Linked DNA regions of Macaca mulatta. The protein of the gene in region 2 interacts with the protein of the main gene of each other region in a biochemical or structural test. Links are inferred from orthologs where the notes say so. Each region holds a gene or a part of one and is shown on either strand. Other genes may lie near its edges.

Region 1 (3,653 bases), on a different chromosome or scaffold from region 2:
GAAGAACAGTAACTTGCTCAAGGTCGTACAACCAAAAAATGGTAGAAGCCGGGATGTAAACTCAGGCAGGCAATCTTTTTCCAGAGCCCAGAATGTTAACCGCCATGATGAACTGCTTCGAGAATTTACATGCTAACAGAAAGGGAAAATAAGAAAGAAACAAACAAACGTAGTAGAAAACAAAGAGGGAAGATACCAAACGTAGTAGAAAACAAAGAGGGAAGATACAAAGACTTAGAGGCTACTGTTTAAAAGGAGGCAAGAACATTATGGATGGGAAGGGAAAAATTAATCCAGACAGGGAAATTTGAATTTTTTTTTTTTTAGAGATAAGAGAAACTTCACAGATAATTTAAATAATAATAAAGATGATAATAACATAATAAACATTTATTGAGGGCTTCCTATGTGCCAGACCCTATTCCAAGTGCTTTATATAAATTATCTCATTTTTCAGAATAATCTTGTCTTTTTTATTGAAATCCCAGGACATAGTACATAGTGCTCAAAGCATATTTGTTGGAAAAGAAATCTTGAAAGGTAATTATATGGCCTGGCATAGTGGCTTATACCTACAATCCCAGCATTTTGGGAGGCCAAGATGTGAGGATTGTATGAGTCCAGGAGTTCAAGACTGGCCTGGGCAACATGGCAAAACCCCGTCTCTACAAAAAATACAAAAATCAGCCCAGTGTGGCACATGCTTGTAGTCCCAGGAAGTCGAGGCTACAGTGGGCCATGATCACGCCACTGCACTGCAGCTTGGGCAACACAGCGAGGCTGTCTCCAGGAAAAAAAGAAAGGTTAGTGTATAATTTTATCTTTTTAAGAAAACTCTAGGTCATAGGGCTAAAGCTCAAAGGACTCAATGCCTGTGTCCCTCTTTGTTTTATTACTTCACAGCATTTATTTCTGTCTGAAATTATCTTGGTACATTTTGCTTGTTTATTATCTTTTTCTGCTAGCATATAAATTCTCAGAGAGCAGAAAATCCTTGTTTAATGCTGTATTCGCAGCATCTAGACCAATGCCTAAGGCATATGAGGTGATGAGTAAACATTTGCTGTTTGTTGTTTGTTTTTAGAGACAGGGTCTCACTTTGTTGCTCAGGCTGGTCGCAAACTCCTGAACTCAAGGGATCCTCCTGCTTCGGCCTGCCAAAGTGCTGGCATTACAGGCGAGAGCCACCACACCTAGCCAACAACTCTTGTTCCACTGTAGTACACTGAATTACTGAGCAGAGATGCTTGCTGCTTATCGTTTTGTGCCTTCTCTGAAGCAGCATCTGTTCAGTTTCTCCACCACTAACTCAACCGTCCATTTACCCAGGCAGGCTTAGTTGTGGATCAAGGAAGAAGAGAAGTTTCCTGTTTATCTTGTTTTCAAAACGAACAGAGGTTATAACAAAGGTGATCAAACCGTATCTCTATAAAATGACTCTTCCGTCTCACCCTCATAAGGATGGCTACTATCCAAAAAAGCAAAGCAGAAAATAAAGTGTCAGTGAAGATGTGGAGAAACTGGAACCCTCGTGTGTTGTTGGTGGGAATGTAAAATGGTGCAGCCACTGCAGAAAACACTATGATGGTTTCCTCAAAAAACTAAAAATAGAATTCCATATGAGCCGCCAATCCCACTTTTTGGGTGTATACTCAAAAGAACTGAAAACGGGGTCTTGAACAGATATTTGCATACCCATGTTCATAGCAGCCATATTCACAATAGTCAAAATATGGACGCAACTCAAGCGTTCATCAATGGATGAATGGATAAACAAAATATGTGACCTAAAATGGAATATTACTCAGCCTTAAAAAGGAAGGAAATTCTGACACATGCTACAACATAGATGAACCTTGAGAATATTATGCTAAGTGAAATAAGCCAGCCACAAACAGAGAAATACTGTATGACTCCACTTACATAAAAGGTGCCTAGAGCGTTTAAACTTACAGAGACAGAAAATAGAATGGCAGTTACCAGTTGGGCTGAGGGAGGAATGGGGAGTTTTTTAAATGGGTACTGAGTTTTTCAGCATGAAAAGAACTCCAGAGATTGGTTGTACAACAATGTGAATGTACTTAACCCTAATAAATTGTCCACTTACAAATGGTTAGGATGATAAATTTTGCCATGTGTATTTTGTCACAATTTAATAAAAACATTAAAAAATAACTTTGGGGGCCAGATGCAGTGGCTCTCAACTATAATCCCAGCACTTTGGGAGGCCAGGGAAGGAGGATCCCTTGAGCCCAGCCATTCTAGACCAACCTGGGCAACACAGTGAGACCTTGTCTCTATAAAAAAAATTAGCCATGTGTGGTGGCGCTCGCCTATAGTCCCACCTACTTAGGGGGATGAGGTAGGAGGACCACATGAGCCCAGGAATTCTAGGCTGTAGTGAGCCATAATCACACCACTGCACTACAGCTTGGGTGACAAAGTGAGACCCTGTCTCAGAAAAATAATAAATAAATAAATAACTTCAGGCCAGGCATGGTGGCTCACGCCTGTAATCTCAGCACTTTGGGAAGCCCAAGTGGGAGAGTCGCTTGCAGTCAAGAGTTCAAGAACAACCTAATATAACAAGACCCCATCTCCACAAAAAACTAAAAAAATTAGCCAGGCGTGGCACACACCTGTAGACCTAGCTACATGTGGGGGCTGAGGTGCAAGGATTGCTTGAGCCCAGGAATTTGAGGCTGCAGGGAGCTGAGATTGCACCACTGCACTCCGGCCTGGGTGACAGATCAAGACCTTGTCTCAAAAAAGAGAGAAAAAAAGGCTTTTTAATATAATGCATATACTTAAGCATTTTACAAGTATCTCTACAGAGATACAGGACCTTGGAGCCTGGGATGTTTATGTGTGAAATCAGGCTGATGAGATCAGGCTGTGAATGACAACAGTGCTCTGAAGGCAAGCCTCTGTGACACTCACCTATCCATACGAAGCTGACAGACAATGCTTAGTGCATCCACAACTCCTTCTTCTTTCAACTGTCGACAGCCAATGGATGTAGCAATAAAACACCCCGTTCTACCTATTCCTGCACTGAAAAGAAAAGAAAAGAAAATTAAAAAGTGGAGGAAAATGACAAAGATAAGAAACATTCTTTTACAAGGGTACTTTTAAATCTGAAGCCAGAGTTAAAAGTAGTATTCATGTATTGAGTATTATAAACCTGGCCCTGTGCTAAGTCCTTAAAATATATTTTTACATTTAATTATAAGTAGTAGGATGAGAGGGGTGGAGGGAAGTGATGAGTGGGGGGGACAGTAAAAAGGCATTATAATTGTTCTAGAAAAAATAAAAAATAATTAATGTCTGCACTTAGGCAAGATACAGGCAGTAGAAAGGAGGGGGAAGATTTAGACACATCACCAGTGTGAATCTGGAGGACTGGAGCTGAAGAGGGAGAAAAGCAAAAAGTCAAAGATGACTAGGCTTGGAGAGAAAGAATGGTGATGCCCTGAGGCCAAAGCGCATCCTAGAATAGGGTGAATTTGAAGGAGGCAGGGAAGGGGAGTTTGATCTTGGACATACTGATGTTGAGAAGTCTAGTGAATAATTGAGCAATTGAAGACTGGATTCATTTTAGGAGAGGGTACAGCTAGAGGCACATATTTCCAAGAGATTTGTATAGACATAAT
Region 2 (3,753 bases):
GAGCCAGACAGGAAGTGGACAGCAAACTAGGAAAGCAGTATCAGGGGAGGACAACAAAGGCTAGGCTGTCCCTCCCTGGGCAAGGTGCAAGTCCACAGGTGATTAGGGTGTGGCTCTGAGTGAGAAGTCCTAAGAAGGACAAGTTTCCATCTGGGGGAGGGGAGGAGGAGACAGCAACAGAAACACTTGATTTTAGGTTTTCTGGGCCTCAGCTTCTTCATTTTTTTTTTTTTTTTTTTGAGACAGGGTCGCGTTCTGTCCCCCAGGCTGGAGTGCAGTAGCACAATCATAGCTCATTGCAGCCTTGAACTCCTGTGCTCAAGCCATCCTCCTGCCTCAGCATCCCAAGTAGCTGGGACTACAGTCATGCACCACCAAAGCTGGATAATTTTTAAATTTTTTGTAGAGATGGGGTCTCACTATGCTGCCCAGGCTGGTCTTGAACTCCCAGCCTCCACTGATCCTCTGGTCTTGGCCTCTAAAGTGTTGGAACTACAGACGTAAGCCATTGCACTCTGCCCTCATCTTTGAAATGAAGCTGCAAAGCCTATCTCATAGGGTAGTTGGGAGGTGTAATAGAAAAAAAAAAAAAAAGCATTGGGCATGTATAGTACCTGACACGCAGTAGGACCTCAAGAAAGGCAGTTTTTTTGTTTTTGTTTTGTTTTGAGACAGAGTCTCACGCTGTTACCCAGGCTGGAGGGCAGTGGCACGATCTTGGCTCACTGCAACCTCCGCCTCCTGGGTTCAAGCGATTCTCTTGCCTCTGCCTCCCAAGTAGCTGGGATTACAGGCATGCGCCACCACGCCCTGCTAATTTTTTTGTACTTTTAGTAGAGATAGGGTTTAACCATGTTGGCCAGGCTGGTCTCCAACTCCTGGCCTCAGGTAATCTGCCCACCTCAGCCTCCCAAAGTGCTGGGATTACAGGCATAAGCCACCATGCCCAGCTGACAGTTTGCTTTCTCCCTGTCTCCCTTCCAGTCTGGGGAAGGAGGAAAGAGAGGAAAGAACCATCCATTTGTTAGCAAGAAGTGACTGTGGGCAGAAGCTGGGTCATGTCTCAGAACTGCCGATGTCAGAAGACAACACTCCCATAGAGACCATCCTGTCTAGCCCTCCCCCTTGGGGCACAGAGCAGAGAACTGACTTGCTCAAGGCCATATTGCCCGGCTGCAGCAGGCCTGGGTTCATCAGAGGCCTCTAAGTCCTGTTACACTGTGGCTTCTCCTCTGCAGGAAAGTTTATTTTACTGGGTTTGTTTTGGAGGGTGGTGGGTAAGATGGAAACAGAAAGCAAGCAACGGGTCCCCAGCCCAGCTCCGAGGCTGTGTATGACCAGCCGACTGGGCAAGGTGAAGGATACACATCCCTCATGGCTTCCAGGGTGGACGCACGCAGAATGTCTCGGATGCCGATGACATTCTCATGGCGGAAGCGCAGCAGGATCTGGATCTCCCGGAGCGTGCGCTGGCAGTAGGTCTGATGCTCGAAGGGGCTGATCTTCTTGATGGCCACGCGAGTCTTGCGCACGTGGTCATAGGCCGAGCTGAGGGGACCGGAGAGAGGCTGCTGCTGTGGCCTTACAAAGGGGGAGTCCGGGCCTGGTGGCCCCACCCAGGCCTTGGCAGGGAGGGGAGAGAGCAGGAGCTGGCTCTGGTCAAATCATAAACAATGCTGGTTCCTTCCTGCTGTGTAGGGCTGGGATCTCCAGAGAGAAAGCTGGGGACCAGCCAGGCGGCCCTTCGGTGACTTTACAAACAGAGGAAGAGACTGACCGCTCACTGACTTCCCCTCTCCTCAATCCCCTTCCATTCTACTGGCCCTGAACCCTTCGCCCCCATTCCCAGGAAAGGTTCCTTAACCCAAGACAGGTCCGGGGGTGCAGATGCTGGGGGCACACCATGGAGCAAATACTGGGAAAACGGCAGCCAGGGGAGGGGCAGGAGAGAATGGACAGGGCAGGGGCGGGTCCTAGGGTGAGGGAAGCGGGCAGCAGGGCTGTCCCAGAGCTCACGGTGGGGCCGGGGGCACTCACAGACCCCTCCCAAAACATGCAAGTGGCACTCCTGGCCCCCTCATCTCTCTTTGGGCACCTGGTGGTGGTGGTGGTGGGGCCAAAGCCCTGCCCCACCCTGATCTCGGCTCGTCTACCCCAGGCTCCCTGGCACTGCCTCACAGGGGGAATCCAAAACACCCTTTCCCCCAAAACGGGCCCTCCACTGCCTCTTCACTAAGGATGTCGCCTCCCCGAGAGTACTCATCCTCTGGGCCTCGCCCCGTGTCACTAGGGTCCCCGCGGGCCCCCACATGCACTCAGATGCCCCTCCCATCATTACAGAAGGGTGGACTCAAAGCCTCCAAGCCCCCTCCCCTGAGGACGCAGGCAGCGCCCTCTCCCCTAGAAAGCACTCAGGGGTCCCCTCCCTGGGACGCTCCCGATCATCCCGAGTCCCCTGCCTCCTCGGGACGCTCCGCGTCTCCACGTCCCGGAAAGCGCTCGGCGCCTCCCCCTCCTCTCCTGTGAAGCCCCCTCCCCTGAGGGCGCCCCCTCCCCCGGAACGCCCCCTCACCTGACCATGCCGTACGCGCCCTCGCCGATGTACTGCAGCTGCGTGTAGCGCGGGCCCACGTCGAACGGCTGCCCCTTCACCATCTCCACCTCCCCCGGGACCCCCGGGCCGACCCCCTCGGCTCTCCGGGGCTCCCCACCCCCGCCCCCCTGAGCCGCCGCCGCCGCCATCTCCACTCCTCCCCTCCCGCCGCCCTCCTCCCCCCGGCGGCCCCGCCCGAGGCCCCGCCCCTTCCCGCCCGCCTGTCACCCGCAGGGCCGCGCGCTCCAGGCCCCGCCCCTGCCCCGGCCCCGCGCGCCCCCGGCCCCGCGCGGGCCTGGAGCCGTCACGTGACCCACCCCGGGCGCGCGCCCGCCCTTCTCGCCCTAGGTGCGGGAGCCCGGGGGTCTCTGCTGGCTCCGCGGTCACCAAGTCACGGGGAGGCTCGGCAGCGCCGCCTCGGAGACTGTCCTCACCCTCCTCTCGAAGGCGAAGCGGCCAGGGCGTGACCTACCAGAGCCACCCAGCCAATGTGTGCGGCAGCCCACCAGAACCTGGGCCCGAGATCACCCTAGGTTAAAAAAACTGTTCTAATAAATGAATCAAATTTTACAGATGGGGAATCTGAGAGTTGGGCTAACTAACTTGAGTAAGGTCACTAGTAATGACAGAGCTGAGACTCAAAATGATGTCTTCTGACAGAGGCTCTTTTTAATTCCATGCCTCTCAGAATCCTAGACTGTTTTTATTTTATTTTAGAGACAGGGTCTCACTCTGTCGTCCAGGCTGCAGTGCAGTGGTGCAATATTTACTGACTGCATTCTCAACCTCCTTGGGGTCAAGTGATCCTCCTACCTCAGCCTCCCAAAGAGCTGGGACTATGCGTGCGCTCCACCACGCCCTGCTAATTAAAAAAAAAAATTGGGGGACTGGGCACTATGGCTCACGCCTGTAATCTCAGCACTTCTGGAGGCTGAGGAGGGCGGATCACTTGAGGACAGAGTTGGAGACCAGCCTGACCAACATGGTGAAGCCCTGTCACTACTAAAAATACAAAACTTAGCTGGGCATGGTGGTGGGCGCCTGTAATCCCAGCTCTTCAGGAGGCTGAGGCAGGAGAATTGCTTGGTACCCAGGAGGTGGAGGTTGCAGTGAGCCAAGATTGCACCACTGCACTCCGCCTGGGTGACAGAGCGAGACTC
Region 3 (2,599 bases), on a different chromosome or scaffold from region 2:
AAGCTAAGACCTGAACGGTGAATTAGCCAAGCGAAGAGAGGGAAGGGAACACATTCCAGGCAGGTGGAACAGCATATGCTAACTAAGGCCCAGAGAAGAAATGTGAAAATGGATACACTGCTGGGAGCAGGGTTACAGGTTGGGCCCAGAGGTTATGTGTGGGGTAATGATGAGAGATGGGTTTGGAAGGCCAGTGAAGGTCAGATGATGAGGGGCCTTGTAGGACTGGCTAAGACACTTGGTTGTAAAATAACACTTTGGCTATAGAGTGAAAAATGGATTGGGCTGGAGTGAGAGGGTATCGTAGGGGATAAGACTAAAGAAAGAGATCATTTGGGAGTGCATATCCTAAATAAAACAGAGCACAGAGGCAAAAAGCATGACACAGGGCCTTCCCAGCCCACCCACAGGTAGCAGTGGGACATGTGCAGGGAGGTCATTAGAGGCTCACGCAAGAGGAACAGGAGGCCTGGGGAGTTTTGAAATAAACAGAGGGCACGATGGAGCAAGCAGAGCAGAGCGGAGAGAAGACTGTGGGAGGGCGCCAAGGTGGGAAACAGAGGGGCCGGGCATGGGCTGCGTGGAAGATGAGTCTGAGCTGAGAGGAAGTCAAGGTTAGATAAGGAGGGCTCAAGGGTCAGCACGCCCACAAGTGGGGAACTGTCTGTTGGAAACTGCTGTAGATGCTCAGCAGAGTGGAGATCATCAAAACGTCCACAGGGACCAGAAGGTGGCCTGCAACAGGCTTACAGTGAGGCTGGTAAGAAATGTAAACTCCTCCCGTGCCAGTTATAACCTGCCTCCAGCAGGGTCCCCAAGGGGACTGGAATCCGAAGTACTCTACCTGCCCCCATCTCCAGAGTCCTATCCCCAAAATACAGCACCTGCAGGTCCCATTTCTTTCTCCATGGTTTGGGGCCTGGCTCTTAGATTCCCTTGTCTCCCATGACCTCCCTGTCCCCTCCCTGGCTATCTTCAGTGCAGGGATTGGCCGGACAGGCTGCTTCATCGCCACGCGAATTGGCTGTCAACAGCTGAAGGCCCGAGGGGAAGTGGACATTCTGGGCATTGTGTGCCAACTGCGGCTAGACAGGTGGGTCTGTGGGTGTAAACAAGGCCAACAACGTTAATGGGGGGCATCAGTGCCTCTGGGCCCCAGAGCCCTGATAGGCCCATCACCATCAAGCACTCCTGCAAGAAAGGAAGAAACCCTTTCTGCTTAGAGCTGTTTATTTTGCAACTAACAACCAGCAAAAAATATCTATCTGGATGGCCGGGCGCGGTGGCTCACACCTGTAATCCCAGCACATTGGCAGGCTGAGGTGGGTGGATCACCTGAGGTCACGAGTTCGAGACCAGCCTCGCCAACATGGTGAAACCCTGTCTCTACTAAAAATACAAAAATTAGCTGGACCTGGTGCGGGCCCTTGTAATCCCAGCTACTCAGGAGGCTAAGGCAGGACAGTTGCTTGAACCCAGGAGGTGGAAGTTGCAGTGAGCCAAGATTGTGCCATTGCACTCCAGCCTGGGTGACACAGCAAGACTCTGTCTCAAAAAAAAAAAAAAAAAAAAAAAAAAGAATATCTATCTGGAAAGTTGGCTTGGAGCCCTGGAATTAAACATGATATGAGGCAACAAGTAGTGCAAAGAAGCTCACTGGGTTGAGGCAGAGCCAGTGTTCAGATTCCAACTTTTGTCTCACTGAGATGTCACTAGATTTCTCTGAGCTCCCATTTCTTTTTTTTTCCTTTCTTTCTTCTTTTTGTAATAATAGAGATGGGGTCTCACTATGTTGCCCAGACTAGTCTCGATCTCCTGGGCTCAACAATGCCCCCTTGGCTTCACAAAGTACTGGGATTACAGGCTTAAGTCACTGTGCCCAGCCCCCACTTCTTTATCTAGAGAGAGATAATGGCTCCTTCCCCCAGAAAACTGTTGTAAGAAATGAGTTAACTTATATGAAAGTGTTTTGGAAATGGAAACTATTATACAAATGTATGGAATCATTATTTTTACTTTTAAGATTATTAGAAAGAAGGAAACTTGAGGCTCAGGAGTATTCCTGGCCCGACTCAAGGCTTCAGAGGTCTGGTTTTGTCCCAGGAGCTGAGTGAATCAAGGAAGACCAAGCGTCAACACGGGGCATCACCCCTCAGCACGTGTAAGGGGCAGAGGACTCCTCTCACAGTAAATCTGAGGGTCAGCAAGGAGGAGTAGCAAGTAGAAAAGATGAATATAGGTGGCGGGGCATGGTGGCTCATATCTGTAATCCTAGCACTTTGGAAGGCCAAGATGGGCCAATCACTTGAGGTCGGGAGTTCAAGACCACCCTGGGCAACATGGTGAAACCCTGTTTCTACTAAAAATACAAAAATTAGCTGGGCATGGTGGCAGGCACCTACAGTCCTAGCTACTCAGGAGATTGAGGCAGGAGAACCACTTGAACCCAGGAGGCAGAGGCTGCAGTGAGCCAAGATCATACCACAACTCTCCAGCCTGGGTATCAGAGTGAGACTGTCTCATAAAAAAAAAGAAAAAAAGAAAAAGAAAAGATTAACACAGGCAAAGGAGTTGGCATGTTCTTTGAGAAAGTCAGGAC

What was found.
Region 1: the proteins of MAPK3 (region 2) and PTPRR form a complex in vitro, tested with the Homo sapiens proteins (2 studies listed by BioGRID). The link is inferred for Macaca mulatta from reciprocal best matches to the Homo sapiens genes MAPK3 and PTPRR.
Region 3: the proteins of MAPK3 (region 2) and PTPN7 form a complex in vitro, tested with the Homo sapiens proteins (3 studies listed by BioGRID, with this or other methods). The link is inferred for Macaca mulatta from reciprocal best matches to the Homo sapiens genes MAPK3 and PTPN7.

What each region holds. Positions count from the first base shown.
Region 1 is NC_133416.1:77,740,061-77,743,713, forward strand, and holds the end of PTPRR (receptor-type tyrosine-protein phosphatase R), read right to left. Parts: intron 3,055-3,653; coding exon 2,941-3,054; intron 781-2,940; coding exon 684-780; 3' UTR 559-683; downstream 1-558. UniProt on the Homo sapiens protein: Sequesters mitogen-activated protein kinases (MAPKs) such as MAPK1, MAPK3 and MAPK14 in the cytoplasm in an inactive form.
Region 2 is NC_133425.1:28,437,364-28,441,116, reverse strand, and holds the start of MAPK3 (mitogen-activated protein kinase 3), read right to left. Parts: upstream 2,812-3,753; 5' UTR 2,743-2,811; coding exon 2,573-2,742; intron 1,549-2,572; coding exon 1,366-1,548; intron 1-1,365.
Region 3 is NC_133406.1:59,817,423-59,820,021, reverse strand, and holds part of PTPN7 (tyrosine-protein phosphatase non-receptor type 7), read left to right. Parts: intron 1-930; coding exon 931-1,093; intron 1,094-2,599. UniProt on the Homo sapiens protein: Protein phosphatase that acts preferentially on tyrosine-phosphorylated MAPK1. Plays a role in the regulation of T and B-lymphocyte development and signal transduction.